3 linked regions of the Oryctolagus cuniculus genome follow. The protein of the gene in region 1 interacts with the protein of each later gene in a pairwise test. Links are inferred from orthologs where the notes say so. Each region holds a gene or a part of one and is shown on either strand. Other genes may lie near its edges. The genes, in order: FBF1, CINP and ACCS.

Region 1 (3,646 bases):
CGGCGGCTTGTTGACCTCTAGGCTTCAGCTCCTCTGTGAGTGGCCACACCCTTGGTGGCCACACCGACGCCACTGCTCCTCGGTATAAACCAGCAGGCTGCGGACCGGAGAACGGGCCAGGCTCACCTCGGCGTCAGCTTCTGCCAGGACTTCCCTGGGGCCGAAGACGTCGTCGTCTCCCAGGAGGGACCTGCAAAAGCGTGGCAGCGGTGCTGGGCGCCAGATGACTCTAGGGAGGAGTGGCCCAGAGTACAGGTGGACCTGCACAAGGCCCTTGGGGAGGACAGAGCAGCTGAAGTGAATGTCACAGGCCGCCATGCAGGGACTGCCAACGTCTTAGAGTAATGCAGCCCCTTTAAAAACAGCTACAAACGAACTGCTCCAGCCACAACGCAGGGGGAGGGTGGAGCGGTCACAGAGCCCCTCCGTGTGTCCCACTGTCAGGAGAGACCCCCAAGAACGCACACAATTGGAAAATCACCCACCCAGGCCGAGCCTCTTGAGGACAAGGAACCGAGGCCCAGGAATGGCCAAGGCCACATCTGAGTGACAGCCCTAGGACCAGGAGCCAGGGCTTTGACCTCCGGTTCGTATCTGTATCTATTTCCCCAGACTTGTTCAGTACCAGGGCAGGGGTGCGGGAAGGGGGTGGAAACCACTGACATTCAATGGCACAGCCAAGCGGGACGCCAAGAGCACGGGGGCTGGGAGGGTCACAGGTGCCCCAGCCCGTCGGATCCGGTGCTTACTTTGCTCCGGTCTTGGAGGGGAGCCCCCGAGATGCACCCACGGTGTCTCCGGCACGCGAAGCTCGATTAACAGGCGTCTCAGGAAGCATCTCTGGCAAAAAAAAAAAAAAAAAGACAACAGAAATGCCGTGACGCCGTGATGCTGTGGCTCTGCTGGGGAGGACGGCGAGTCCCCACCAGCTGTCTCCAACCTGAATCAGGTGGCGGTAGATCTGCAAAGCGGAATTCAACCCTCAGTGCCAACCAGAGGCAAAGGAGGAGCCCAACCCACCCACAGCCCATGCACACGCAGCGGGCCGAGGGCAGGCCGGGGCACAAGGGCTTTGTGGGTTCTCTTGGCCATGTCGGGGAAACCGAGTCCTCCCGTCCCTGAGGGAGACTGTGTGGTCCTGTTGCAGACACGGGCGTCCTCTGCTCACAGCCAGCGAGGGCAGCAGAGCCTGGGCCCCTGCACCCGTGAGGGAGACCAGGATGGAGCTCCTGGCTCCTGGCTTCAGCCTGGCCCAGACCCGGCTGTCGCAGGCCTTGGGGGAGTGAACCAGTGGACAGAGAAGCTCCCTCTGTCTCCCTACCTTCCTTTCTCTGTCACTCTGTCTTCCAAATAAATAAATCTTACAAAAAGACGGAAAATAAGCATTGGCGCGGATGTGGAAACACTGGGATTCTCTGGCATCGCTGGGGGAATGGAAGGTGGCACGGCTGGTGTGAGAAAGCGTGGCAGCTCCTCACAGTGTCAGACAGAGCCGCCACGTGAGCCGGCAGCTCCTCGGTCCATGCAGAAGGCGCCCGTCTACACAGACCTGTGCACGGATGTGCACAACAGCATTGCTCCTCAGGGCCAAAATGCGGAGGCAGCTCAGATAAACACCCGCCAGCTGATGAATGGGTGAACAAAACGGCCCATCCGCACAAGGGGTATTATCCAGCTAAATGGGTACATGCCACAGGGCACCGAGTGAAAGCCAGACGGAAGGGAGGCCAGCTGGGGCAGGAGACCATCTCCTGTCGAATTCCGGGACAGGCAAATCCACAGAGTAAGTGGTTGCCTGCATGCTGGCAGGGGGGAGGGCGACTGCCTGGTCATGGGGACGGGCCTCTCACAGGTGAAGACAATGCCCTGGAGCTCGGCGGGGGTGACCGCTGAACAACCTTATGAATATTCTAAAAGCCCCCGCATGGCACACTAAGAGTGAATTTCATAGTATGTGAATTACACGTCAATTAAAACAAAGCCAAACCTGGGGGCCAACGTCACAGCACAGCAGGCTAAGTGGCTGCTTGCAATGGTTGGAGCGCTGCTCTGCTTCCCATCCAGCTCCCTGCTGTGGCCTGGGAAGGCAGCAGAAGACGGCCCAAGTGCTTGGGCCCCTGCACCCGTGTGGGAGACCCGGATGGAACTCCTGGCTCTGCCCTGGCCCACCGCTGGCTTTCACAGCCACCTGGGGAGTGAACCGGAAGGTGGGAGATCTGTCTCCGACTCTCCTTCCCTCTGCTGTTCTGCCTTTCAAATACATAAATAAATACACCTTTTCAAGAAAAATAAAACAATATAAAACCCAGGGAACTGTGGGGGAGGGGCACTTACTGTCATCCCCCAGAAGGTCACTGAGGACATCATCAATGGAGCCTGGAACAGAAGGGGGGACACGGTAACTTCAGGAGGAAGAAAAGTGACCCTGAACACATCCCAGCCCCGGATCAACCCCAGGGCCTCAGCCGCCGCAGATGCGGGAACTCAGGCCAAGCTCTCCCTCTGCTGGCCGCAGACGCGGGGCCTTGTGGAAACACCTGAGGCAGACATCTGAAGTGACCTTCTCAAAGAACTACGACAGGACGGGTTTCCTTTCTGCCTGCCTCCCCCGACAGACTTGCACAGAATCAGCCCTTCAGACTCAACGAAGCCCGTGTGGTTGTTTGGGAAGAGCATCCAAGATCTCTTTCATGCCGCGGCCTCCCTGCACCCTTCCGGCTGAGCCCCCGGTCTAAGCGCTGCCCCCCACCCCCGCCATGAAGGAGGCGCAGCCCTAAGCACAGAGCCGAGTCAGTCCTCCCGTCCAGCCTCAGCATCTGCACTGCCCTGCATCCCAACCACGTACAAGCCCAGTGCGGACTTTTTTTCTAAAACCCCACCTCATTTATTTCTCAATTCTTCTGCAGGACCAATGAGGTGGCATATGGGGGGACCCTAGGAAGGTCAAGGCTGCCTGGGGAATTATGGGAAAAACAGCAAGACTTGTACCCAGCACTTTAAACACAGACATGGATAAACTGCTTTTGGACCCAATGTGTAGGGGGGTGAACACATGTGAAGGTACTTCAGAAAGGTTGTGGAGGAGGCCTTTGCCACTCGGGCACCCCCTCCCACACTGGGGTGTCTGGGGTTGACTTCCTCCTCTGCTTCCAGTCCAGCTTCCTGCGAGCGCACCTGGGAGGCAGCAGGTGATGGTCCAAGTCCGTGGGTCCCCGCCTCCTCCCTCCAGCCCCACTGTGAGACAGGGATGGAGCTCCTGGCTCCGGCTTCAGCCTGGCCCAGCCCTTACTGTTGGGGGCACCTGCGGAGTGAAGCGGGGGATGGAAGATGGGGCGCCCTTCTATCCTGACCCCGTGTCACTCTGCCTTTCAAACAAATCTTCTAAAAAAGTTTGTGGAAAGTGGAATTTATTAAAACATAAGCTTATGTTGGTGCAAAGAATCCTGGAGTCCATGCATAGTTTTTTGTAAGCACCCCCCATGCACTTCTTGAAGAACCTTCATCGTATTTGGTTAAGGCTGCTTTTCCCTCCTTCCACTTACCTTTCAATCCTTTCTTGGCTTTTGGTGCCTAAAATGGGACAAGCAAATCACATTAACAAATTCAAACAGGGAACACGTGTTCAAACTGGAAATGTGCAGTGCGT
Region 2 (3,646 bases), on another chromosome or scaffold:
CAGAGAGAAAGGTCTTCCTTTTTTCCGTTGGTTCACCCCCCCAATGGAGCGCACTGTGACTGGCGCACCGTGCTGATCCGCAGCTAGGAACCAGGTGCTTCTCCTGGTCTCCCATGTGGGTGCAGGGCCCAAGCACCTAGGCCATCCTCCACTGCACTCCCAGGCCACAGCAGAGAGCTGGACTGGAAGAGGAGCAACCGGGACAGAATCTGGCGCCCTGACCGGGACTAGGACTAGAACCCGGTGTGCGGTGTGCCGGTGCCACAGGCGGAGGATTAGCCTATTGAAACATGGCGCCAGCCCCTCAATTTACTTTTTAAAATTTTTTTGAGTTGAATAAATTTTATTCATGTATCTCAACAGACTCTCTGATCTTTTTACTAGTTCCTAATCAGTTTTTTCAACTTTTATTTAATAAATATAAATTTCCAAAATACAGCTTTTGAATTATAGCGGCTTTTCCCCCCATAACCTCCCTCCCACCCGCAACCATCCCATCTCCCACTTCCTCTCCCATCCCATTCTTCATCACGATTCATTTTCAATTATCTTTATATAGAAGATCAACTTAGTATATACTACGTAAAGATTTCAACAGACTGCACCCACAAAGACACACAAAGTATAGAGTACTGTTTGAGTAGTAGTTTTTTACCATTAATTTGCATAGTACAACACATTAAGGACAGAGATCCTACATGTGGAGCAGGTGCACAGTGACTCCCGTTGTTGATTTAACAATTGACACTCTTATTTATGACGTCAGTGATCACCCAAGGCTCTTGTCATGAGCTGCCAAGGCTAAGGAAGCCTCTTGAGTTCACCAACTCCAATCTTATTTAGACAAGGCCATAGTCAAAGTGGAAGTTCTCTCCTCCCTTCAGAGAAAGGTGCTGCCTTCTTTGATGGCCCCTTCTTTCTGCTGGGATCTCACTCACAGAGATCTTTCATTTAGTTTTTTTTTTTTGCCACAGTGTCTTGGCTTTCCATGCCTGCGAAACTCTTATGGGCTTTTTAGTCAGATCCAAATGCCTTAAGGGCTGATTCTGAGGCCAGAGTGCTCTTTAGGACATTTGCCATTCTATGAGTCTGCTGTGGATCCTGCTTCTTATGTAGGATCATTCTCTCCTTTTTAATTCTATCAATTATTATTTGCAGACATTGGAATGACCTCAATTTATTTTGTAACTAAAACAAAAAGGAGGCCAGCATGTGCAGTAATGAGTAAAGCAGCTGCCTGCGAGGCCGGCATCCCACATGGGCGATGGTTTGAGTCCCCGCTGCTGCACTACTGACCCAGCTCCCTGCTCATGCACCTGGGAAAGCAGCAGCAGATGGCCCAAGTCTGTGAGCTCCTGCACCCATGTGGGAGATCTGAAGAAGCTCCTGGCTCCTGGCTTTGCATCGGTCCAACTCCAGTTGTTGTGGCCATTTGGGGAGTGAACCAGCAAATGGAAGCCTTCTCTCTGCCTCTGCCTCTAATTCTGCCTTTCAAATCAATCAATCAATCTTTAAAAAAGAAAAGACACCCCTGTTGCCTTTCCTCCTGAAGGATCCTTGTACTGAACTTCAAAGCCTCGTCAGCTTTTTCATGTACTGAATCAAATGATGCTAAACATTCTTTATAACCTCTGCCTTCCGAAAAACCAACTCAGAAAGAACAACTTACAGAAATGGGCTGTGGGCCACGTGTGAAACATAGGGGGCCGTTGACTCTGCTCCCCATAATGGTAATTTTCTAGTTCACAAATTCCCTTGGTAGTTGAAGACAGCTTTTCCATCTTCACCTGTATTTTGGTCTGAAAAGATATTAGTTTGGAATATAAGAATATAATTTGAACTCTCCAGTCTCAAATTCAATAACCGTAAGTTTTCAAAGCAAAGAAGTCTTAGTCTATTGAGATCAAAATGCCAATAAGTAAATACCATTAACTCCATGGAGGATAAATTTCCAGGGAGTTAGAAGGAAGATCGTTATGATTTCATTAATTTGGATTACGTGGGTAATAAACTCCAGATTTCCAGTCCTGAAAAAGAGAAATTTTCCCAGCCCCACTTCACTGAGGTTTCCGGGGGCCAGGGTTGTGGCCTGCAATGCCACTTGCACCACGAGCTTCCTACACTGGAGCACTGGTTCAAGTCCCAGCTACTCCATGTCCAATCCAGCTCCCTGCTCATGTGCCTGGGAGGGTAGTGCTTGGGCTCCTGCACCCAAGTAGGAGACCCGCTTTGGGGTCTGGGCTCCTGGCTTTGGCCTGGACCAGCCTTGGCCACTGCATCCACCTGGGGAGGGAACCAACAGATGTAAGATCATGCTCTCTCTCTCCCCCTCTGCTGATGCTCTGCCTTTCAAATAAATAGATCTTCACACACACACACACACACACACACACACGAAATCTCTGAACAGCACTGATGTTTCAGTCCCAAAGATCTGGAGGAATCCTGAGGTCAGCTCTTGCTGCTTTTATGGAATGAAAGACAGGAGAAAAGGCATTAAATGGGCTCATTTCTGACTGAAACTCATTTACCAGAGGAAAGATGAAGAAGATGATGACAGCTGCCCTTGGTCCTGAGCCTAGGCCACTGCAGGACGTGTGCCACCACCCCCACTGCACACATAGGCACACAGGACCGTGAAATCCCTGCCTTCCCAGGGCGCCAACAGCAGTCAGTGTCCACGAGCACAGAGGCGACGTGGAGGCAGGTAAGGATCTGTTACATGAAGTGATGGTAAAGGGGCTGGGACTTCAGACTTAAGCAGCACAGGTCTGTGATGTCTGAATCCCAAACTCCTGAGCAGACTGACTTTAGGTGAGGAAGGAAAGAAACGTAAACCATCAGAATCTTAATCCTTGCACTTGGTCCTTGCAGCCACTCTCCAACCGCACAGGAAGTGGAAGGCTCTAAATTTAGCTAGCATTGATTTTTAAGGGACTTCACTCCCTTCCAAAATCTTTTTAGGCTCAATATTTCTTTGGTCCAACCCCACGAGGAAGGACTCAGCATTTCCATTTTACAGCAAGGCGAATCGCTCAAGGGTGAGCGAGGGAGGAGGCTGTGCCTTGCTCTGCTGCCACCTGGTTCTAGGAAAAGCTGAAGAAGAGCGGGCGCTCCAGGGGAATCCCGGCCCTCCAGCTCTGTAGGTGGCCAGCAATGGACACCCAGCTGCATGGGCGTGTGCTGACCCGGACTGAGAGCACGGACAGCGCCCACACTGCCACTTTGACCTTGGCAGTCCCCTCCTACAGCCAACACAGACTGCACTGAGAAATGTCAGTTCACCTTAAGGGAAGAGGGCATGAAACTCAGAGAAGTCAAATTTATTACAGACACCTACTTAAAGCTAAGACTGGAAAGCCATTTTCTCTAAAGGCTGCAGGAAAATAGGAAAACTAATCTTAATACCTTTGCATATCAACTTCTGTTTTATTTATTTACATTTCATTTCAAAGGCAGAGAGACAAGAGGTATACTATCTACTAGTTCACTCCCCAAATGCCCGCAGTGGCCAGGGCCAAGCCAGGCTGAAGCCGGGAGCAGGGAACGCAGTCCAGGTCCCAGATGTCGGCAGCAGGCACCCCAGCAACAGCTGCTGCAGCCCAGGTGTGCATTAGCAGGCAGCTGGACTGGAACACAAGCTCTC
Region 3 (3,646 bases), on another chromosome or scaffold:
AGGTTGACCCAGATGAAGAGGCCGGCCCCGCGGCTCAGGAAGGGGATCCCCAGGGCGCGCAGCTCCTCAGAGACGTAGGTGTGGGCAGCCTTGAGCCGGGCGTGGTTTTCCGGTAGGTACACCTGGCTGATCCAGTCTGTTGTGGGTGAAAGGGGAGTCAAAGATCAACGTCCCATCAACCCTCCACTCTACCCCGCTGGTCTAAAGGCTGGAAAGAAAAAGTCCACCAGGGCTGGCGCTATGGCATAGTGGGTAAAGCCGCTGCCTGCAGTGCCAGCATCCCATATGGGCACCAGTTCGAGTCCTGGCTGCTCCACTTCTGGTCCAGCTCTCTGTTGTGGCCTGGGAAAGCACTAGAAGATGGCCCAAGTCCTTGGGCCCCTGCACCTGCATGGGGGACCCCGAAGAAGCTCCTGGCTCCTGGCTTCGGATCAGCACAGCTCCGGCCGTTGCGGCCAACTGGGGAGTGAACCAGCAGATGGAAGACCTCTCTCTCTCTCTCTCTCTCTCTCTCTGCCTCTCCTTCTTTCTGTAACTCTTTCAAGTAAATAAATAAATCTGAAAAAGAAAGAAAAGAAAAAGGCCACCAGCCGCCCGTGCCAAGTGCCCCAAGTGACTGTGCCAAGTGCCCCTCCGTCTGGCCGTGGGGTAGGCGGGACACGGACTGCAAATCCAGACTCCGCCCTGACAGCGCCAGGTCCTGCACTCCATTCTGCAGCTGAGAATGACAAGTTTCTCAGGACGCAGAACCCAAGCCAGAGGTTCATCTGGTTAGAAAGTGGTGGTGCTGGCACACCGGGTTCTAGTCCCGGTCGGGGCGCTGGATTCTGTCCCGGTGGCTCCTCTTCCAGTCCAGCTCTCTGCTGTGGCCAGGGAGTGCAGTGGAGGATGGCCCAAGTCCTTGGGCCCTGCACCCACATGGGAGACCAGAAGTACCTCACTCCTGGCTTCGGATCAGCATGGTGCACCGGCTGTAGCATGCCGGCCGCAGTGGCCACTGGAGGGTGAACCAACAGTAAAGGAAGACCTTTCTCTCTGTCTCTCTCTCTCACTGTCCACTCTGCCTGTCAAAACAAAACAAAACAAAAGATGCCACTTGGGACGCCCACATCCCTTATCAAAGTGCCTGGGTTCACGTCCAGGCTCCATCTTGACTTCTGCTCACGAACACCCAGCAAGGGAGAAGGTGACGGCTCCAATACTTGGGTCTCTGCCACCTGTGGGCAACACCTGGATTTAGTCACTGGCTCCTGGCTTTAGCCTGGTCTAGCCCCAGCTGTTGTAGGCATTTGGGGAGTGAACCAGCAAACAGGAGACCCCTCTCTCCCTCTTTTTCTGTCTCTCCTCTGCCTTTCAAATAAATAAATAAATATTTTAAAATCATGCTTTCACATCACACAGCCCAAAGCTCAGGCCCATCAGTGGAGCCCAGGGTAACTGCACCTGGCTGATCCTCATTTGTATTTAAGCTTCATTGTGTGAAGTCCTATGAATTTAAATGCACGTATAGATTTGTGTAGCCCCCACCAGAGTCGGATTCAGAACAGTCCCATCTTCCCAAAGAGGACCCTCATGCTGTGTCGAGTCACCTCCGCTTCTTGGCCATGAATCACTCATCTGTTACATAGAACTTTCCAGAATGTCACAGAAGTAGAATCCTCCAGCACGCCATCTTCTGGGGCTAGCTTCTTTCCCTCAGCCCGATGCCTTTGAAGAGCGGCCTGTGTTGCCATGAGTTTTACTGTAGAACAGTGCTCCACTGTGTGGACGTGCCACAGCCCACGGCTCCAGCCATCTCTGCAGGGCATCTGGGTTGATTCCCACGATAGGCAGCTATGACTAGAGCAGCTACACATTCACGAGATGTGTGGGGCCGTCAGCGCTGAGGCACCTGTGTGTGGCCTAAAGATCAGGACACACCCTGAGAAATGCGTCACTGGGCGATTGGAGCGCTGTGTGAACGCTGCAGAGTGTCCTGCCACAACACTAGGATGGCTATGACGTCACCAGGGGATAACATCTCACGGGACTGCTGTCGTACGTGAGGTCCGTCACTGACCAACTTGTCGACGTGCAGAGCGTGGTATTAGGATAGCCGGGTCATTCCGTCAGGGTGGGTTTAGCTTTCTGAGACGTTGCCGACTTGTGTTCCAGAGTGGATGAACCACTGACACTTCCACCAGCCATGGGTGAGAGTCCGAGCCGCACCCGTGTCAATGCTGGGTGTCCCTGTGTCTTTAAATCTTAGCTGTTGACAGCAGGTGTGTGGTCTCTGAGACTCATTTCCATCATCTTATATAAGGGGAGTGATAGGGCAAACAGGGCTTCTTGCTGCCTGGGATTCCGGAGAGGGACAAGTGAGATGATACAGCACGGGTGTTTGCAGGGCTCAAGGCATGGAGGCAATTAACGGCAAGCTATCCACGCTCACTATGTGAACTTGGAAACAGAATAGATTTGGGGAGAGGGGGAGAGAGGGAGAGGGGGAGGGGGGAGAGGGAAAGGAAGAGGGGGGGGAGGGAGAGAGAGAGAGAGAGAGAGACTTCCATCGTAACAATCTTCTCTAAGCAGCTTCTGCTGTCTTTTAAGTGGTGTTCACGACTAATAACAGTGAGCTCACACCAATGAAGCCCCTGTTACAGGCCAGGTTCAGTGCTGAGTTACCAAGCACACCAACCCCACAGGGCAGGTCCCATTAGGACCCCTGCTGGGGCGTTGTACGGGAAGCAAGGTGATGCACGCTGGGAAGTGATAGGGTAGGCGAGGCTCAGTCCGGGCAGCCCAGCTGGCCCTCTCAATCCCTGCTCTCAGTTCCTCTCTGGGCTGAGCGTCCACGACCCCAGACTCACTGCCGCCCTCCCTCCCCATTCCCAGGTCACCAGGCCCAGGCAGTCACCGTGGTCTCGTAGCAGCTGTGCCATCTGGTGCTGGGCTATGCCACTAAGGCCATAATAGCGGCAGAGTGAAGCCACCGCAGTGGCCACGTCCTGGTTTTCTGTGTACAGCACGCCGAAGCGGAGCCCAGACATCCCGAAGTCCTGGAAGAACGGGCACTTTAGTCCACGGCCAGCCCTCTCCTCCCACCTCCCTGCCCGCCCCCCACGGCTAGCCAGGACCTCACCTTGCTGGTGGACCACATCACGTGGGTCCTCTGGGGGTCTGGCAGCCTGCAGAGAGCACAGCGTGGGAATAGGGCCCAGCAGAGCAGCAGGGCAGCCCACGCGTGTTTGCTTGCACAGATGAGGAGACGGAGGGACGGATCTGGCTCTGGGCCCCAGGCCAAGCCCTGGGGTCATCTCTTTGAACCACCAACTCCCAGGCATCCTTTGGAGCAGGGCTTGACAAAGCACAACCCATAGGCTCAAACCAGCCTGCGGCTTGTTTTTGTAAATAAAGTTTTATCAGAGCACAGTGATTATGCTCATCCCTTCACACAGTGACTATGCAGCAGGGGCGAGTGAAAGAGCAAACAGCAAATGGCCTAGGAGTCTAAAATACTTCCCACCTGGCCCTTTGTGGGAAAAGCTGGCTGTGTCCTGATTCGCAGCATAGCTCAAGTGTCACATCCTCAAAAGGCGCCCTTGACCTTGCCCACCAGCCAGGTGAGCTGGGTACCCTCTGCAGCACTCTCCCAGACTGCATTTCA

Evidence for each region.
Region 2: the proteins of FBF1 (region 1) and CINP interact in binary tests that used the Homo sapiens proteins (3 or more experiments, as listed by UniProt). The two-hybrid records come from large-scale screens. The link is inferred for Oryctolagus cuniculus from reciprocal best matches to the Homo sapiens genes FBF1 and CINP.
Region 3: the proteins of FBF1 (region 1) and ACCS interact in a two-hybrid assay, tested with the Homo sapiens proteins (2 studies listed by BioGRID and IntAct). The two-hybrid records come from large-scale screens. The link is inferred for Oryctolagus cuniculus from reciprocal best matches to the Homo sapiens genes FBF1 and ACCS.

Annotation. Positions count from the first base shown.
Region 1 is NC_091448.1:4,735,251-4,738,896, reverse strand, and holds part of FBF1 (fas-binding factor 1), read right to left. Parts: intron 3,571-3,646; coding exon 3,543-3,570; intron 3,302-3,542; exon of another isoform or gene 3,175-3,301; intron 2,377-3,174; coding exon 2,335-2,376; intron 841-2,334; coding exon 750-840; intron 191-749; coding exon 127-190; intron 121-126; exon of another isoform or gene 1-120. UniProt on the Homo sapiens protein: Keratin-binding protein required for epithelial cell polarization. Involved in apical junction complex (AJC) assembly via its interaction with PARD3. Required for ciliogenesis.
Region 2 is NC_091451.1:45,546,902-45,550,547, forward strand, and holds part of CINP (cyclin-dependent kinase 2-interacting protein), read right to left. Parts: intron 1,800-3,646; coding exon 1,670-1,799; intron 1-1,669. UniProt on the Homo sapiens protein: Component of the DNA replication complex, which interacts with two kinases, CDK2 and CDC7, thereby providing a functional and physical link between CDK2 and CDC7 during firing of the origins of replication.
Region 3 is NC_091432.1:21,568,765-21,572,410, forward strand, and holds part of ACCS (1-aminocyclopropane-1-carboxylate synthase-like protein 1), read right to left. Parts: intron 3,168-3,646; coding exon 3,122-3,167; intron 3,039-3,121; coding exon 2,897-3,038; intron 137-2,896; coding exon 1-136. UniProt on the Homo sapiens protein: Does not catalyze the synthesis of 1-aminocyclopropane-1-carboxylate but is capable of catalyzing the deamination of L-vinylglycine.